Linked DNA regions of Xenopus tropicalis. The protein of the gene in region 2 interacts with the protein of the main gene of each other region in a biochemical or structural test. Links are inferred from orthologs where the notes say so. Each region holds a gene or a part of one and is shown on either strand. Other genes may lie near its edges.

Region 1 (5,533 bases), on a different chromosome or scaffold from region 2:
CTTTGGAAACCCGAAGCATGCGATTGATCTCTCCGTGGGACATTAGCCTAACAGGTTCCAAGTCTTAGTTGGGATGGACCCTAAAACAATGGTGAAACCCTGTCTACATCTTGTAAGCCGAGAATATCATTATGCATTATAAAGCGAACAATCAAAGTGGGGTTAAGTGCCGCTATAGGGGGGTTATTGTTTCAATAATTAAAAAAAGAATAGAATTTTCAATTAAATCACTTGAACAAATATTTTGAGCTGGCTAAGGTACTTTGAAGCTGCAGTAAAGGAATATATTTAGTTTCATATTTGGTAGCCTTGTAGCTGAATGCAGCTATTGCCCAGGCAGTTGCTGTTGATCAGGGGTCCACCAACCTCTTTTTCCTGTGAGCCACACTGAAATGTAAAGAGAGATGGGGAGCAAAACAAGCATGAAAAAGCCTTATGGGGATGCCAAATAAGGGCTCTAATTGGCTATTTAGTAGACCCTATTTGGGAAGTCAGTCTACAGGAGGCTCTGTTTGGCAGTAAGCCTGATTTTTATGCAACCACAATGTGCGTCCAAGCCAGAAATTCAAAATAAGCACCTACTTTGTGGCCACTGTGAGCAACAGCCAAGGGTTAGGGAGAAACATGTTGCTCCAGAACCACTGGTTGGGGATCACTGCTGTAGATTATTACTACTGTAGACAATCATAACCATGGGGGTCACATTTGAACTAGTAACTTCACAACCCTTCAGTATTGACAATGAAGCCCAGGTATGCAAAAAAAAAAAAAAAGAAAGCACAACTCTAGGATTCAGTAGATCTGACCTAGAAAAATAAAATAAATAAATTATAAAAGTATTGGCATATTTTTCCCTTGCAGTCAAATTGAAAAAGTTGTATTGTGCTGCTGTCAGTGGAGCACTCGGCTGGCCGATTAGGAGAGCCAGTTTAGATCTGCATGCCTTCCAATGAACAAAGAGCTCCACTGTGTGTAAGAACAAGGCAGAAAAAAAATGAAATCCCATAGCAATCTGCCCTGCCCCCCACCTCATACACCCACACACACCCCTTCTGAAGATAAAGTTAATGGAAACTTTTTCAAACACGCAAGAAATATGTAAAGTTTAAAACTATTTAAAATGTTTGTCAAGGCCCTGATCTGGGCAGTGGGGTTAATGTAACGAAGGCCATTGAAGTAACACAGGAAAGAAAAGAGCAGGCCTCCAACTAACACTCAATTTTTATAGCTGTAAAACCACACCAAACGTTGCCTTGTATTCTCGCAAAGCTTCGCTTTACGTAACTGTGTCATTTAATATTTCCTACAAATAGAACGGTAAGGAAAACAGAGCATGACATGGACACTCTGCATTATTTATTTAAAATATGTATTCTTTTTAGTGTAATCATTTTAAAGAAGCAGCTGCAGGTCATTTCAACTACAGGTATGGGACCGGTTATCCAGAATGCTCGGGACCTTGGACTTTTCAGATAAGGGGTCTTTCTGTAATTTGGATTGCCATATGTTAATTTTGCTAAAAAAATCATTTAAACATTAAACTGAATAGGGTACTGGTTTATTATTGCAGAGAAAAAGGAAATCATTTTCAAAAACTAGAATTATTTGATTAAAATGGAGTCTATGGGAGATGGCCTTCCCGTAATTTAAAGCTTTTGGGTAACAGGTTTCCAGGATCCCATACCTGGATCAAATCCCATGTGCCAGGTCAGTCACAGACAGGTAGATGGCACAAATATTAATACATTAATAAAGCTGTAAAGTTAATAATAAAATATCTGTTATTTGATTTACCATCAGGCTCAAACATTGTATTCTACTTCTCTTAGTCTTGTCATTTTCTGCATTGGTAGAAAGTCAACTTAAGCAAAAGAGCTTGAGCTCCATTAGAAATTCTTGTAAAGATGCAAAGCAAGTTCTGGTCATTGTTGCATTTACAGAACTGCTAGGCAACGACTCCAATCAGTGTGGACCCCCCCCCCACACTACATGCAGACAGGGCCTGCTGAGCAGAACCACCAGAGTAAAACTGAGTTTATAGCAGACATGTGTGTAACCTGGGAACTCACTGTTGAAGACAGAAGCTGCAATTTTATAACAGCTGAATGGGAAACATATCATTTACATGCATGTCCAACCTGGGGCCCTCCAACTATTATGCATACCATGACAGTCAAACACTACTGTAGTACGAGGATGGAGGGGCTCAAACATTATATCCCTGATCTAAAATAGCCAAGACTTCGAAACTGTGGGCCTGAACAAGGCAGTAACTGGGGGGGGGTGATTTAGCAGGTAGACTACAGAGGGGAAATATGCTTTTTTATATACTCCTAGAATTCCCGGAATGACGGTTAACAGGGTAAGATTTTTGTGGCAAACACTCAAGGAGCTATGCCATCTGTAACAGAGTTACAAGCGGAGGAGGGCCCCAACCAAATGTTCAACATGAATGGGGGTTCTGAAGTCTGAAAACCGTAAGGCCTAAGGGATTTCTACCTTGCCAATCAGCTGACAACATATTCTTCAACCGTCTTGACCTGGCAAGGAATACTGTAAGTTCAAATAACAGCTGGAAGGCCAGACATCAGACATTTGCATTCTAGATTGTAAGCTCTCGGATTTCAGTTTCTCTTTGTATGCTTCATGTCCGTGTAGAACTTGAATAGCATCTGTAATATACTAATAATCACCCTGGAAAACAGCACTTATTTATAAACAGCCCCAACAGCAACAATAGAAGCATCTGGTTGCAGCACAGAGAGGGAGAGCAGTCTGCCCGACAACTCAGACAGCTGCAACATGCTGCTGGACCATTTTGTGCAGCAGAGAACTTCTTATATCAACTGTGGTGATGTTTAGAGATCAGACAACATCTCGGTCCATTTAAAACCAGCAGCATCCTTCTGCCCCAGACTAAAGCATGTTTCTGCCCAGAACCAACCACCTGCTAACTTGCCCTGAGTTTTACTGCTGAAGCCCCCCAGTCCTTGGCCAAAACACAAAGCAGCCTCATCCAACTCTCCCCCCCTGTCTCCCCTGTAAAAGCCATAGCATTACCTTATTAGAGTTTGCTAGATATTTCAGTGTAATGTTCCACTTCCTCCTGCATTGAGTTTATTGTAAATCCAACAAGCTTTTCTCTTCTCAGAATCCAGAAAGGTGTAATAATCCCACAAACGTATAGAATTTTCCGCAGAGAGAGAGAGAGATGGCCAGAGAACAACAAACCCGAAGGCCGGGAGAGAGGATCACAAAGGGGCTGTAGAAGTTCCAAACCGAATGAGCTCAAGTTCGTTTCCCTCCAATGCTTTCACCGTTCCTTAATCCTGGGAGGGGGCTGGAAACATCCCAATTAGAGAGAAGCAAAGGACAATTCTTTACCAGGGACGGGATTCCAGGTCCACGTTTCGGGGAGTAGAGAGAGAGTGGGGGTCAGGGGAATAAACAGGCAAGGGGAGGGGGGTGTAGGAAGAGAGAGAGCCGTGTAGGGACAGGGGTCCCGCTGCATTCACTGCTCCTCCTAGTGACACCCGTACGAGTCATGAAGGGTGAGCCGGAGTGTAGGGTATATTGTGCCACTATGGGAGCCGCACCCTCAGCGCACTCACACACACAGCCCGGCCAAGCAGCACTCTCTCCTCCCCAGTACTGCTCGCAGCCGCACACACTCTCCCCTCCCCCTCTGTCTCCAGTCTCTCCTCCCCCCTCTCATAAGGGCAGTCTCTTTGCTACTCTCACTTCCTGAGGCGTCTCGTTTCTCCTCTATGTGGCCCCTGCTTAGGCTCTCTCTTCATTTTACCCCCATCATGTAACATATTTCTAATGAAAAGGTGCAGTAAAGCTGCTGCCCCCCCAGATGTGTTTCAATCACAACCCCTTAACCCGCACTAGGAACCTTTGTGGGTATTTTAGTTCTGCAACAGTTGAAGGGGGGAAACGAAATCCTATTTTTAAAATGCTTATTCCATCTTTTATTTGATTGTCAGCTTGTAGGACAAGATGTAATGAGACTCAGGGACAAGTGTTACTGTACAGGACCCTAGGTGTATGTAGATTGGATCCATTACTTAGTGTTTAATCCTTAGGGTTAATTTGTGATGCTATTAGCCCATTCAAATAGGGTGCTGACCCAGTGCCCCAAGCTATCAGTGACTGGTCCACAGAGGCATTTACATGAGTGTGTGTGCCAGTCACTGTTATCCTAAGTAACAGATTTGTTAGGGGCTCATCACCTTGAAAGTGTCATGGAGTATCCAAGGCTATTGGCTACAGGTGCCCAGATTTAAGTGACCACCACAATTTGTTTAACCTTTTTACTTGTGTTCTGTACCCAAGGGTCATGGCAATATAAGTATTATACAGTCAGTGCCTCTACATACATAGCCTTTAGGCAGTCATATACAACCGGACCTTGTACAGTATGTGACCAATCAGCTTGCAGGTGCAATACAAGGTTATTATTATTACTATTATTAATATTAACACATATTTATACATCACCAACATATTTTGCAGGACTGTACAATAAATGGGTGTATGCACTGAACATACAGATTACATACAAATAATTAACTGGTAACCGATACAAGAGGTAAAAAGGGTCTGCCCAAAAGAGCTTACAGTCAGTTTCATACATTGTCGAGGCTGAACAACGGGAACAGCAGAAAGTGAAGACACTTCCATACAATGGAAAACGTGGTGCATCAGCAGATTAGGTTTTTAAAGGAGAATGAAAGTTACAATAACTGGGGGATGCCAAATGTTAGCTTCCATACATGTACCAAAAATCAAAGATTTTATTGTCATTTGTCAGGCCACCCTAAGCCTTAGCCACTAGGAAGGAATGCACTAAATCAGGAGAGCTACTCAAGTAGTGGTAAACTGATCAGTGTCCATACACTTACTATGGCATGTCAGAGTCGACATAAGAACCAAACGTGTCCAAATACAGTGGATAAGAAATACTGTAGAATAAAAGGGGTAAATAACCCCTTAATTTGTTTTATTGTGTCCATTATGGACAATATTTATATTTTATTAACTTCAGTTGTACTTTAGGTCAGAATATATGGTTCGTTAAATAAATAGAAACTCCACAGATATTACAAAACAGTTTAAGTGTGAGCATTAGATAAAAGATTAATATGTGTCTTGAGTAGAGTTGCCACCTGCCTTGTAAAGTGATGCTTGATGCTAATGTAAGCTATAAAGCTAAACATATAGGACAGAAACTAAAGCTATACATACATGTATAAAGATTATAAATTAAATAATAATCTCATTTGGATATAATCAGTTCCATCGGAATCATCTGACAAAATGTAGTGCATCAGTCTGTAAAGCATTTGACATACTGACCGCTTGCCATAGTTGAAGTAACGCCCAGAGGTAAAAAAAAACACTACAGGGATCAAAAGGGGTCAAATTGCTGGCTGTGACCTCATGAAGTTTCCTTAACCCTAAAGGTATAACACATAATCTAAATAAACTGACATCAAATGTACAATCTATGATATAGTTGAGTCCAGGA
Region 2 (4,779 bases):
GGTAAAAGGCAGGGCTGTGGAGTCGGAGGCAATTTTGGGTACCTGGAGTCGGAGTCGGCAAAAAATTAACCGACTCAGACTCCTACTAAATTTAAATGGGAATAAAAAAAATAAAATAAAGCAAGTTTAAATGTCCCAATTCACAAACAAACAGTCATAATTAATTACTTCTCTGCTATAAGAATATAGCCCAATGCACGCAGTGCATAATCGTACACGTTGAGTGACCATGAAGCATGCTTTTCATTGACTGTATGCTTCACTAAATGGGACGTAACGCACAGTTGCGGCAGCTCCATTGCGTCGTGTTCCTCTGTTACAGGGAACACAATGCCCACTGTGAACCTAGCCTAACTCTCACTGATAACTAATTAAGTATGCCAGCTATTACTATCCAGCCACTTGTTTAAAAAAAAAAAAAATAAACAAAACCTTATTGTTTTCATTGTGTTTGTTTTTTGCTTTAATTGGGCAATACAGTAGAGTGTTGGCTTCCTAGCCAGTAGTTCTGTGGTTAAAGGAACAGTAACACCAAAAAATTAAAGAGTTTTAAAATAAATGAAATATAATGTACTGTTGCCCTGCACTGGTAAAAGTTGTGTGTTTGCTACAGTAACTCTACTATAGTTTATATATAATAAGCTGCTGTGTAGCCATGGGGGCAGCCATTCAAGCTGGAAAAAAGGCACAGGTTATATAGCAGATAACTGATAAGCTCTGTAGAATACAATAGTGTTTTATCTGTTATCTGCTATGTGCCTGTGCCTTTTCTCCTTTGAATGGCTGCCCCCATGGCTACATAGCTGCATTCTTTATATAAACCATAGTAGTGTTTCTGCGGCAAACACACCAGTTGTACCAGTGCAGGGCAGCAGTACATTATATTGGAATTTCTTTTATACACTTGAATTTTTTGGTGTTACTGTTCCTTTAAATGATATGTATATCTCTTTCCTTTCCTTCAATGAATGTCTAAAATACATTAGCATATTAAAAACATAGGAGTCTGAGAATTTATCTACCGACTCCACAGCCCTGGTAAAAGGTAAGCGATTTAAGTCACTTGGGGGTGCCTAACATTTTGGCACCCCCAAGTGACTTAGACTTTCCTTCTCCTTTAATGGACATTTCTCAGTGACATTACAGACAGGTCAAATTGTGAAATGAAAGCATTTTGCAATCTCTGTATAGCCTTCCTCTGCTTTGTAGGCATCAATTCTCTACATTTCAGATCCTCAATCAGTTGGTTAGAAGTGCCCATGGTTGTTGAGTCGCAGCACCAAACTTGGGGTTTCAAGATTTTATTAAGCTTTGCAATTTTCACCAGGTGACAATATCTATGGGCTGTTAAGGCCTAATGAAATAAGTCCATGCAAAAACTGTTTGTATCACTGGAAAAGTGAAAGGGTGTCCAAACTAACTTTTTTACATGCCACCATTAATATTTTATTAGTTTCTTTGTGAAATTAAAGTTAACAATTTCAAAGGGGCCAATATTTTTTATTTTTTGCTTATATGGCATATAAGGTTATTAGTATGTTTAATGACATACCAGCATGAACATTTCAAATAAAGTGAATCAAGGAACAATGAAAGATTATACCACTTATCCTACACCTCTACCATCTTTTACCTTTGCTGAGTCAGACACAGTATTCCAGTTTCCACCCCTCAGTGTAAACTTCCCACTACCAATACGAGCTAGTATCTCTTCAGGGGTGTCTCCTGGTCCATTTGCAAACGGTGTGTATCTATGTAAACACAAATTAACAAGATTAGTTTTAATACACATCTTATGTGTATATGGGTACGGATTCCTTTATTTAGAAAACTCTGAATTATGGAAAGGCCATCTTTCATAGACTACACTTTCATAAAATAATTTGCATTTTTAAAAATGATTTCCTTTTTCTCTGTAATAATAGAAAAGTACACCTTGTAGTTGATTCAACTAAGATATAATTAATTCTTATTGGAGGCAAAACAATTGTATTGGGCTAAATTAATGTTTAAGTTATTTTTTAGCAGACATAAGGCATGGAGATCCAAATGAAGCAATGGCTTCCTTATCTGGAAAACCCCAGGTCCTGTTAATTGTGGATAACAGGCCCCCATACCTGTATTACAGTGATACCTCAATTTTACATCTCCAGTTTTAAAATTTTCTGCATTATACTACTTTTTTTGTGATCCCACAAACTTATAATGCATTTCCCTTATTTTATGTTTTCCCTTGTTTGTATGTATGTATATTTTATTTAAATAGCGCTACAAATGTACAAAAAGCTCTACAGCAGGACAATAATTTACATGTAGGGACCATTACAATAAGATATAAATAAATACAGTGTACAATAATGAGTACAAATAAACAAAAAGTACAGTTGCATTAAAGATTCCACAAAGCTAAATGACAAAAGACAAGAGGATGGAGGTCCCTGGGTGGGTAATGTAGAGACACAAGAAGGATGGTATTTGGTGCTGCACATACAGTGGGTGACACTGCAATATAAGTGCCATCTAATATATAGTTATATACCACCTCCTGTTATGGTATGATAAACATAAAATTAGTGTTCTTTTGTACGTATATATTATGTATAAACAATTGCATAACAGATGAGCTTGGATTAAAGAGACCTCTAACAACTTAAAATTTTGCCAATACAAATCCTAGTTCTGCACAAAGGTGAAAAAAACCCAACCTGAAGCAATGGGACCACTCTCTAGTTCTGCAGGAGGGGCTAGAGAAAATTAGGGCCACTGAATTTTGGGGTTCAGATAGTCTTTGCACAGAAAGTAGCCATAGAGTACCTCCTGGATGAGAGGATGAACCCTGAGAAGTTTTGTTACATTTAGTCATAACACATTTTTTACAAATACAAATGTATAAACATTCATCTTCACATATAAAATAAAGATATACTTACTATTACATATTGTGCATAAAAAAGGCCCAAAATGGAGAATGAATATACAATTAATCAACTTTTACAATTTCTAATTGCTTACCCTGCAAGCATAGTATAAACGAGGATGCCTAAGCTCCAGATGTCACAGCCCTCATCATAGCCCTGTCGCTTTAATACCTGTAGAAAGAAATGCAGATTTCAGTCTTCGTCCATCAACAATACCAATTTTCCCTGCTATAGGTTTGATATATATCCCCTTGAAATAGTCACCAATCCACAGAACCACCTTCTTCCTAATAAAACATTACCTCTGGCGCAACAAAGTTGGCTGTGTAGCATGGAGTCATAAGCAAGCCATTCTCTGCTCGTAGCTGTTTAGCAAATCCAAAGTCACATATCCTGATTGACTCTGGATTACCTGATTCATCAACATACAGAATATTGCTAGGCTTCAGGTCTCTATGAACTACCTGCAAAACAAATAATAAAAAAGTGTGGTTAAGAAAGATTTTATTTTACCCAAATATCTGGGATGCACCAAATCCAGGATTCAGTTCAAGATTTAGTTGAGTTTCAACACTTTTTACAAGATCCTTATTAGAAAGAAACCTTCTTGCTCATCCAAACCAATTCTGAACCCTTCTGTCATGTGATAAAGGACAACTGAATGCATACAATCTGTATTTCTAGTTGATAAATAATATGCTGATCATAATCTGAGTGTGGTATACTTAATGTACAGATTTAATTCATCCATAAATAACATGAATGAAGTCCATCCTTCTTATCATAAAGTCCTAGGCAAGCAACCGTATATTTATAGTTTTTATTTTCTAAAAAGATGATTAGGAAACCAGAAGGCTGAGGATTTTTCTATGTCATCCAAACTTCAGCCCATAATAGGGTTTCAAATAATGAAGCAAACAGCTGTCTTTCAAATACAATTATTACAATATTTTATTTGCATTATGTAACCCACCTATTCTGTAAAAGAAAAAAAAAAAAAAAAAAAAAAAAGAACTGTTACAATGTATACAATCTAAACTTGATAAAGTACATCTGTAACAAAGATTATATGAGATGTTATGCTTTTCTGCCATTTAATTCCCATCCCCCTTGGATGGTTTCCCCAGCTTTCCTGCATTGCCAAGGGCCATACTTCCTATAACTGGGCCTGACTATACCATTCTGCAAAGTGTCTGGGTTTGCAGCATTCTTACTTATTTGCATTTCATTACACCTAATTATACCTAAAGTAACAAATGAGAATTCTGCATTCAAACTCTAATAGATCAGTAAATATAATGTAGGTTATAACACTCGAGCAAACCTGGTCACTACCTTAAATTGTTTGTGTCTAAGTTTTGAGTTCACTGAGTTCCACACAATGCTGACCACTTGGATGTTGTTGTTGACTTATTACCTATATATGATGTAAACATAAATTAGTCTCACCCCTTGAGAGTGTAAATACTCCACTGTCTTGCAAACGGTTAAAAGGACAAGATTGGCTTCTCTCTCAGAGAAGAATTTTTGCCTTAGAATGCGGTCCAGGAGTTCCCCACCTCGCATCAACTCTGTTACAAGGTAGATACTGTTACCCTCTTCATAAACCTGTCAAGGGACAGAAATGGCAGATCCCTGTAGGTTATTAGAAATACACCTTTGCTTCTTACTCAAACCATTTAAAACTCCTGGTTTATTTCTCTGCACGGTACTATGTTATTTGAATTTACACATTTTATGCATTCACACTACTGCCAAAGCATTTATATTTACAAAACTAATCAAATAGCTTATTTTTGCCAAGCTTTCAATGGCCATCATAAATCCCAAGATTTCCGAAGATAAAACCAAGATGCAGCCT

The links.
Region 1: the proteins of rps6ka1 (region 2) and erbin interact in a test that uses a peptide from one of them, tested with the Homo sapiens proteins (2 studies listed by BioGRID and IntAct). The link is inferred for Xenopus tropicalis from reciprocal best matches to the Homo sapiens genes RPS6KA1 and ERBIN.

What each region holds. Positions count from the first base shown.
Region 1 is NC_030677.2:187,602,829-187,608,361, forward strand, and holds the start of erbin (erbin), read right to left. Parts: upstream 3,711-5,533; 5' UTR 3,061-3,710; intron 1-3,060. UniProt on the Homo sapiens protein: Acts as an adapter for the receptor ERBB2, in epithelia. By binding the unphosphorylated 'Tyr-1248' of receptor ERBB2, it may contribute to stabilize this unphosphorylated state.
Region 2 is NC_030678.2:77,655,395-77,660,173, reverse strand, and holds part of rps6ka1 (ribosomal protein S6 kinase alpha-1), read right to left. Parts: intron 4,527-4,779; coding exon 4,368-4,526; intron 3,383-4,367; coding exon 3,221-3,382; intron 3,090-3,220; coding exon 3,013-3,089; intron 1,752-3,012; coding exon 1,634-1,751; intron 1-1,633. UniProt on the Homo sapiens protein: Serine/threonine-protein kinase that acts downstream of ERK (MAPK1/ERK2 and MAPK3/ERK1) signaling and mediates mitogenic and stress-induced activation of the transcription factors CREB1, ETV1/ER81 and NR4A1/NUR77, regulates translation through RPS6 and EIF4B phosphorylation, and mediates cellular proliferation, survival, and differentiation by modulating mTOR signaling and repressing pro-apoptotic function of BAD and DAPK1.